Callithrix jacchus: one gene and its partner. The protein of the gene in region 1 binds, or shares a complex with, the protein of each later gene. Links are inferred from orthologs where the notes say so. Each region holds a gene or a part of one and is shown on either strand. Other genes may lie near its edges. The genes, in order: TFDP1 and E2F1.

Region 1 (4,537 bases):
CTTGTTCCTTGATCATTCTCTTTCATGATGGGTATGATACTGACACAGCAGCACACATGTGCTGTTTGTAAGTCAGTGTGTGCAGGTATTGCAAGGCTGTTCATGCCTTTTTAGGGAAGACAGGCTATGTGACTGCACAGCGGGATGTCCTCTGTGGCACAGTGCAGAAAATCCTGGACAAGTGAAGGATGTCTGGAAGCTTCCCCAGCTGTCCATCCTGCGGCACTGCGGGTTGTCTGTGTGTCTTGTGTTGTTTCTGTTTCGTGACCATTTGCTTCATTTTCTTTCCTTTTTCAGAAATGGCTCAGGGAACTGTTGGAGGTGTGTTCATCACGACAGCAGGTTCCACATCTAACGGCACGAGGTTCTCCGCCAGGTGACAGCGGTTGAGGGTGTGGGAGAAGCATTGTCTGGGCCTCCTGTGGGGCCCAGGGGCCAAGGCAGGGTGGACGTCTCAGATGTGGCCATCAGGTCTGAGGCTGCTCCGACGTGCTTGTCTTCCCAGGCAGTGGCCCCACCGGCTTTCCCTGTGTGGAGAGCTGCTTTTCCTAGTTGGTTTCTCCTCACTAAAAACTAAAAGTAATACGTGGTGGTTGTTTTTTTTTTTGTTAAAGTATCACCTAAAAAGTAAGTAGGAATGAAAACCACCCAAATCCTTCTGTCCCGGGCAGCCCAAATAACAGCAAGTATTTCTAGTTTTTTTCTCCTATTTTTCAGAACACGTCTGCGGTCACAGTGCATTTGTATTTCAGAACGCATTTGTAGTCATGGCGCATGTATTTTTCAGAACGCATCTGTAATCACAGCACACATATTTTTCAGAACGCATCTGCAGTTACAGTCCACGTATTTTTCAGAGCAGTCACAGTGCACATATTTTTCAGAATGCATCTGTGGTCACAGCGCACGTATTTTCCGAACATGTTTGTGGTCACAGTGCATGTATTTTTCAGAATACGTTTGTGGTCACAGTGCACTTTCTTTTCAGAACACATCTGTGGTCAGAACGCACATGTTTTCTTCCATGCATTTTCACCTTACATTTTATTGTATTTATATATATTATTTCTGTGCTATTAAAGGGCCTTTATTTAAATAAATTCGTATTTAATCTTTGACCTGCCATCCCATAGGGTAGAATGATGTCCCTAGGTATTTATCTTGGTGCTTCAAAGAGAAATATAGCTTTTACAACAGATATTAACAAAACAAAGATTTTATTGACTTTTATATTGCATTGTGATACAATATGTAGTATTACTTTATATTAATCCTAAGTGTTCATAAAATCTTTAATTGGAAATCTAAGAACTTAGTAACCTGTGGGTCCAGATAACAGGGCACGACGTAGTGAGTTGCAGTGCGCATGAGCCTGTGTTGGAATGTGCTGTGGCCGTGAGATGTGACAAGTGTGTCAGGGGTGCATGTAGCTTCCTGGCCAGCTCTGGGGTTACAAAGCCAGTCTCTTCCAGTCTTGGCCTCACCTGTAAGGTGAGACTGGTGATGAGTCGTTGATCTGTGGCAAGGATCAGTGAAGTGGTGATAGAAGAAGGGACTTGTCACAGTGCCTGGTAACAAGGTTTTGACCGAGGCCGGTTCTCTTTCTCTTCAGCTGTGTGTGAATGTGTAGGGGTCAGTCTGTAAACATGTTTAACACTGGTTCTTCCATGAGGTGAAATGTGGGTGTTTTTAGGACTTTCATCATCAGATAATCCTTTTCATGGATGTGATTCTCAGACTTGTCAGTTTTTCATAACAATGGAAACAAAGCTACTACCATTTCTTATGAAATACCAATTTTCAAAGTGGCATGATGGGACATTTTATGAAAGTACCTCATGAAAGGACATCTAGGCAGTTCCCAGTTATCAGGAAAACTACAGTGAGCAGCTTTGCGGCTGAATTTCTCACCATTTCTGACGTGTTTCTAAGATACAGAATCACTTCATCAAAGGCATATTGACTCATTTTCATTGTAGTTAATAAATACTATTAAAATATATTAAAATATATGCATATATTTTTATGCAGTTGGAAAACATTTTTAAATCTTGGAACATTGTGAGCTGTGATTAGTGGTAGGTTTTTGTGGTGCTGCAAACCCTCTGGGTTCCCAGTCCATGCTGCTAGATTCTAGCCGTGCTCTGGACTACATCCTGTCCTGCCCCAGGCTCTCTTTTTTTCCTGTTGCTGGTTATGAGTGAAAGTCCTGGAGGGAGGGATCTAACAGTTTTTCAGTTCATTGCCTCTGGGCACTGCTCCTGATGGAATGATGAGTGAGGGAGAGGGAGCTTGTGGCTCTGCTCAGCCTCCTATTTCTGGCATTGTGGATTCCAGGAGACAGGGTCCGAGGAGAACCAGACGGGGATGGAGTGAGTGCCAGAGTGCTGGCGTGCTGTAGTGCAGACACTCATGACCTCCCAGTTCTGTGTGTGTGACTGACAAAACTGACACCTGTTCGGCGCAGCCTGTCCTTCAGCCGCAGGCCCTGAGGTGAGGGGAGGCCGAGTGGACTGCTCTGCACTGACTGCCTCATCCGCCTCCTGCCTTGCAGTGACCTGACCAACGGTGCAGATGGGATGCTGGCCACAAGCTCCAACGGGTCTCAGTACAGTGGCTCCAGGGTGGAGACCCCAGTGTCCTACGTCGGGGAGGATGACGAGGATGACGATGACTTCAATGAGAATGACGAGGATGACTGACGTCCTCCCCACTTCAAATTCAGCTTCAGGAAAACGTTTAGGGAAAAGAAACTTTTTTTTTTAATGTGGGTTTTCTGTTTCCTTTTGGCCTACTCCCAAGAAGATATTGGTAAGCTATTGAATTTAGATATGCACCTCTGATAAGCAAGGGTTGTTTACCGTAGGATTAGGACGTGCTGTGGATGTGTGTTTTGATACCAGTGTGCTGATGCAGAGCGTTTATTTACTTTTTAGGATTTTGTGTTTTCATTTTTCTGGTTTTCTCTAAGTGCAGAGTTCAGTTTCGCCCCTGAACAGTTTTTGCTGAGTCTGCTGAAGAAATTATATTTCATCCACATCCATGAAAATAAAACACCCTCCTGTGGTGGATGGTGAGCACCTGGTGCCATTTATTTGCCGTGAGTCTGGACGGCACCCCCGCTGGTGGATAGCAGGACTCTGTGGATTGTTCCATTTGGTCAGTGGTACTGTGTCCAGAGCCCCAAGCAAACAGCAGAATTCGACTTTCTAAACAATAAACTTCATCAACCTTATTGACTTTATTTTCCCTTAAATTATATTGACTGTTGTGATTCCATCAAGCTTATCAACTCTTTTCTCTCCCTATTTGCAGCAACAAATTGCAAAGTGCTTTTGTTTGTTTGGTTAGGGCTTATTGCCACGCTGGTGCGGCTATGGAGACTGTCTGGAAGGCTTGGAATGGTTTATTGCTTATGGTAAAATTTGCCTGATTTCTTACAGGCAGCATTTGGAAACCTTTTATTATATAGTTGTTTACATACTTATAAGTCTATCATTTAAAAACATGTACTGAAACAAATGTTGTATTTGTTTCATAAGCATCTTCCTGTAATCTATTATAAAATTGAAATTAAATATAGAGAATGTTTTAACAATTTTTTAACTCAAAATTTGTCAATCATTTTTAATAGTTCTTTTTTTATAAAAAGGAAAAGGAATTTAAGGACAGGCAGTAGTCTCTTTTAAAGTTTATTCACAAAACCCATTAACTGCACAGTTGCTGTTAGCTGCCTGTTCTGAAATGATAGTCTTTTTATTGAAACACAAATAAACTTTTCTGTAATATTTTATGGAATATAAAGAGACTTTAATTGTTTGACTTGTTTAACTTGGCACTGTTAGTTTTTATTAATAAAACGCGCATGGGCATTTTGAACAAGCTGTGTTTCTCTAATTCAGGATTATTGTCTAGAAATTTGTCTGTCTTGTTGGTCTTACTTTATACTTGAGTGAGAAAGTAGGTTGTTATTAGGCCCAGACACAGTGCGTCCTGGTGGTCCCTGTGGGCACACCCCCCGACCAAATTTTGGTCAGAAGCACATCTTCCGGGAGCCCACCCTGAAGATGGAGAGTGGCCAAGGGTGGAGGTCTTGGATATAAGGAAAGGAGGAGGCACCTTTTTTGGTGCCTGTGGTGCAGAGAAAGATAAGCCAAGTTCCTTGGCTTTTTTTCACGATGAAAATTGAGACTTAAAAATGTAAAAGTTTGACTTCCAGAACAAGAATAAGATTGGGAGGCTTCTGGGAAGATGGTGGAATAAGGAAGCCAGGAATCTGACGTCTACTCCCAGGCAGGATCTGCTGGATGCAGCTGTTCTGTAACTACGGAATCTACCAAAGGCTTAAAGCTTACAAGGGAGCATATGGCAGTTAATTTTGGTCAATTTCAGCTTTCTACCCTACCCCTGTTCCTTCATTTTTCTCCTTCTCCTTCTGGGAGCCAGACATTGAAGACTAGGACGTACAAAAATAGCTGTGCCTATGGGGCTGCCCAGGGAGAGGCTCAGAAACGGCCTGAGAAGACCTTATGTTTAC
Region 2 (4,527 bases), on another chromosome or scaffold:
CTGGGAGGTGGAGGTTGCATCACGCCACTGCACTCCAGCCTGGGCTGACAGAGTGAGACTCTTTCTCAAAAAAAAAAAAAAAAAAAGTTAAGTTTTCAGTTGGGCGTGATGGCACACACCTGTAATCCCAGCACTCTGAGGGGCTGAGACAGTCAGACTGCCTGAGCTCAAGAGTTCAAGACCAGCCTAGGCAACATGGCAAGACCCTGTCTCTACTAAAAATACAAAAATTAGCTGGGTGTGGTGGTATGTGCCTGCAATCCCACCTACTTGGGAGGCCAAGGCACAGAATATCTTGAACTCCGGAGGTGGAGGTTGCAGTGAGCCCTGATCACACCACTGTACTCCAGCCTGCATAACAGAATGAGACTCTGTCTCCAAAAAAAAAAAACAGTTAAGTTTTCTACAGTAAACATGTATTATGTTTAAAATATTTGAGTTTGTGGAAGTGGACAGGCAGGACCAAGAGAAATGGCTGAATTGCACAGAGCCTGGTATACAGTGTTCAACGAATGCCTGCTGGTACAGAAGCTAAGTCTGTAGCTTATTCCAGGGACTGTGCCAGACAAATGCCAGTGCAGAGAGGCCAAAAGCCGAACCTGTGGACCTTCTGGACTTCAGCTCCAGTCTCCTGCCCCTAAGTACAGAAAACACCTCCTGGCCCTGAAGGACTCTGAGGGTGGGGCTCCTTTTCTCTGAGCCTAGTGCCTCCTAGGCATTCACTAACTCAACAACTGTTGAATGAATGGAATGCCCGGGCCAATAAGCCTGCCCCTGACAGGTAGAGTGGAGGGCACTCTTCTTTGCCCCGTTTCTCCTTCTGATCCTAGAATCCATAATCCTGTTCAGTTCCTTGAGGACAAGACCCTCAGGTTCTGTTAGGTTTCCACAGACCTGAGCCTGCTATATGCTTGTCACACAGCTGAATGGAGGATGCTTGCCCAGGTCCCAAGCACTACCCACAGGGACAAACCCCCGGAGTACAGGAGACAAGCCACCTGGCCCACCCCTCCCACCCACTCATTAAGATGAAGGGCCCCCAAAAGCCCTTCCTGCCCTTTCTTCAGCCTCTATCAGCATCCCTAGAAAGCAATGCATCCCAGAGGTCAACCTCACAGGAAATACAGATTCAACCCCCCGCTCAATAGCAGAATGACATGGGAAGATTCTAGTATTTCTAGGCCTCAGCTTCCCAATCTGTAAAAAGGGATTGCTGCTGATGGGGTTAAATGAGTTAATTAGGTAAAGCTCTTGGCAGAGCCTGGCACATAAGACATCCTCAAAACAATGGTGGCTGCTATTGTTATTATTATTAGCATCGTGGTGATTCCGGAAGGCAGCACTGGGCATGAGGCCAAGGGGGTGGGGGAGCCCCTTTAGATGCCTCAGGGACCAGCTGCTACCCTCACCCCCATCAGCAGTTAGGCAGCTTCTACCTCCTAGTCCTAAGCCCTGCCTCACCCCTCCCACTTGCTCCAAGCTCCCTGCTGAGACCCCATCCTGCTTGACCAGCCCCTGCCTGCACATCAGAGCCCCACCTTCACCCATAGGCTGCGCCAGTCAAACTGGTCTCCACACCCTGTACTGCAGCCCACAGGTCCCAGCTCCAGGCTTCTACGCCTCCAATCCCTTCTCCCACTGTAATTCAGCCACCTCTTCTGGGCACCACCCCCCCCCCACCCCCCGCCCCGTCTGAACTGGTCTTGAGCTCAGCACTCAGGGACGGCTTTATTAAAGGATCTCCCTGGGACATTTTCTCTCCTGGCACTGGGGGCCTCCTCTCCAGCTCCCAGAGGCCCAGCCCACCTAGTTCTTCTACAGAGGCTCAGGGGTCTGTCTGTCTGATTAATGAGGTTCCATGGCAACCAGGGCCTGGGAGGGTGGAGGGTGGCAGATGGAAGGACAGGCAGAGGGAGGAGATCAGCAGCTGGTCCAGCTGCCCCGCCCCTGCAGAGAAGGCCTCCCAGCCAGGAGGGCTGTCCCCAGAGGCCTGGCCGGCCAGTCCTGCACCTGGCAGTCAGCATCGAGGCAGGAAGGAGGGTCTCCTCAGTGGCTCACCAACGGTTAAGCCCCAGGACCTTCCTCGCCCCGCCTTCACTTCCCCTAGCAGCTGTGTTCACTACCGAGATGCAAATTCTGATCTGAAGCCAGCAGGCCGCAGTTCAAATCCCAGCCCCGCCACCTGCAGCCGTGTGACCAGGGGCAAGTCACTGTCCCTCTCTGGGCCTCAGTCCTCCTCCGTCAGCTGGGCACAGTGACAACACGGCTTACAGCAGGGTTGTGAGTTTCAGCTGGCTTGAAGTCGGCCGAGGCCTGGCGTGCAATAAACGCCAGTTGAATACACGTGGGCCATTATTATCATTGAGTCCGACGCTGGGGAGGCTTTAGTGAGGAAGCTCAGGCCCAGAGCAGAGGAGCAAACAGGGACCGGCCCGAGGTCACCCCGCACCCCAGGGCGGAGCCTGGAGGCACAAGCCAGGCTCTGCACCGCCCAGCCTGGGTGCCTCAGTCCACCCCTCCCCCGCCCCCTGCCGCCTCCAGGCCAAACACAGCACCCGCCCAGGTCTGCTCAGGGGGCACAGGCAGTGCTGCCGGCGCGGCGTCCCTGGGGTCCGTACCGGCGGGCGGCCGAGCGCGGGGCGCGGCGCGCTGGGTGTGGGCCGGGGCGCCTGCGGAGTGGCGAAGAGCAGCAGGTCGGGGTCGCACGGGCCGGCGGCGGGCGCCGCGGGGCCAGCTGGGGCCGGCGGGACGCTGGCGTCCTGTGCGGCGGAGATGATGACGATCTGCGAGGAGTCGAGCAGCCGCAGCGCGCCGGCCCCGAGCAGGGCCTCCAGCGCCGGCGCGCATGGGCCGCCCGCAGGGGCCCCGGCCAAAGCCATGGCGCTCACGGCCCGCGCGGCCCGGGTGACAGGCGGCGGCGGCGGCGCGGGCCCATGGCGGCAGGCCCCAGCAAGGGCTCCATCCCGCTCCGCCCCCGGCCGCCGCTGCCTGCAAAGTCCCGGCCACTTTTACGCGCCAAATCCTTTTTGCCGCGAAAGAGCCACGAGCCGCCGAGCGCCGCCACGATTGGCTGCCCGGGCCGTGACGAAGTCGACGGCAGCGGCTCCTATTGGCTATAGCGCGCCGGACCGGCGGCGACGGGAGGGATGGGGCGGCGGCGCGGGGCGGCGCGGGGCGGCGCGGCCAATGGCGGGGCGGGGCGCGCGCAGGCTTTGTCCAGACAGTGCCAGGCGCGGTCGGACTCCCCGCCCCCAGGCCGAGCGTCCCCTGCCGGAGGCGTGGGGACACTGGAACATGGCCCCGCCCCGACGCTCCCGCATCCCACTGACCTTTCTATAGTGCAGGTTCAGGACAGAGCCTCTGTTCACGCGACCCTCAACCTGTAGCCCCCACAACCTCAGCCCACATCTCCAGAAACTGCCCCCTCTTCTTTTCGGGATCATCAGTTCCACAGCCCAGCCATCAGCCACCTCTCCTATCCTCAACTTACCACACCCATGACATTATCCTAACCCTGCACCCAGCCCTATCCCACTCACCCAAAGCCCAAGCTGAAGAGCGGTACCAGGAAATGAGGAGGGACGACCCGCCAGATATTAGCCTGGGGCTTTCCTGCAAGTCCCATTTTAGCCAAAATCTACAATGGCCAAGTAAAGCGTCTGCTTGAACTAATTCATTCCCTCACTCATTCAACAAACGTCAGGAGAGCCTGCTCTGTGCCCATCCTTAACTCTGTGCCCCCATCCTTAATTCGTGGCCCTAAGGAGCTCACAGTCTACTGGATAGGGGACAGAGAGGTAACAGACGTTTACAATAGGATGAAGCATTGGTCCAGAGCGGTGGCTCATGCCTGGAATCACTATAATCAACGGGCAGGGTGGATCTCTTGAGCCCAGGAGTTTGAGACCAGCCTGAGCAACATGGTGAAACCCTTCTCTACAAAAAATACAAAAATTAGCCAGGCGTGGTGGTGTCCATCTGTAGTTCCAGCTACTTGGGAGGCTGAGGTGGGAGGATTGCTTGAGTCCGAGAAATGAAGGCTGCAGTGAGCTATGATCATGCCACTGCACTCCAGCCTGGGCAACAGAGCAAGATCCTGTCTCTAAAACAAAACAAAAACAAAACACATCACTTCTTCTAGGGACCCCTCCCAAGGATCTACTCACTTCCTCTATTGCCCACTGCTGCCTCTGTTCCAACACTGACCACACATTTCTCCATCTGCCTCCCCTGCCAATCTAGAAGCTCAGTAGCGCTTCCTCCCAACACTGGCCTGACCCAGAGCAGGCACTGAGAAAGGTTATAAAAGAACCAGAGGCATGGCGGGGCACGGTGACTCACACCTGTAATCCCAGCACTTTGGGAGGCTGAGGAGGGCAGATCACCTGAGGTCCGGAGTTCAAGACCAGCCTAACCAACATGGAGAAACCCTGTCTCTACTAAAAATACAAAATTAGCCCCGTATGGTGGCACATGCCTGTAATCCCAGCAACTTGGGGGGCTGAGGCAGGAAAATTGCTTGAACCT

What was found.
Region 2: the proteins of TFDP1 (region 1) and E2F1 are in contact, whole or in part, in a crystal structure (PDB 2AZE), measured with the Homo sapiens proteins. The link is inferred for Callithrix jacchus from reciprocal best matches to the Homo sapiens genes TFDP1 and E2F1. Residues at the interface, in NP_009042.1 of Homo sapiens: Glu201, Cys202, Leu205, Glu206, Glu208, Arg209, Arg212, Leu213, Arg215, Ile216, Lys219, Gln220, Gln222, Leu223, Leu226, Ile227, Gln229, Gln230, Phe233, Lys234, Leu236, Val237, Arg239, Asn240, Arg241, Glu244, Pro251, Ser255, Val256, Ile257; in NP_005216.1 of Homo sapiens: Arg202, Leu203, Leu206, Thr207, Asp209, Leu210, Leu213, Gln214, Ser216, Glu217, Leu220, Asp221, Leu223, Met224, Ile226, Cys227, Thr228, Gln230, Leu231, Leu234, Asp239, Ser240, Gln241, Arg242, Leu243, Ala244, Tyr245, Val246, Thr247, Cys248.

The regions. Positions count from the first base shown.
Region 1 is NC_133502.1:29,108,372-29,112,908, forward strand, and holds the end of TFDP1 (transcription factor Dp-1), read left to right. Parts: intron 1-297; coding exon 298-376; intron 377-2,554; coding exon 2,555-2,702; 3' UTR 2,703-3,882; downstream 3,883-4,537. UniProt on the Homo sapiens protein: Can stimulate E2F-dependent transcription.
Region 2 is NC_133506.1:5,612,402-5,616,928, reverse strand, and holds the start of E2F1 (transcription factor E2F1), read right to left. Parts: upstream 2,999-4,527; 5' UTR 2,880-2,998; coding exon 2,619-2,879; intron 1-2,618. UniProt on the Homo sapiens protein: Transcription activator that binds DNA cooperatively with DP proteins through the E2 recognition site, 5'-TTTC[CG]CGC-3' found in the promoter region of a number of genes whose products are involved in cell cycle regulation or in DNA replication.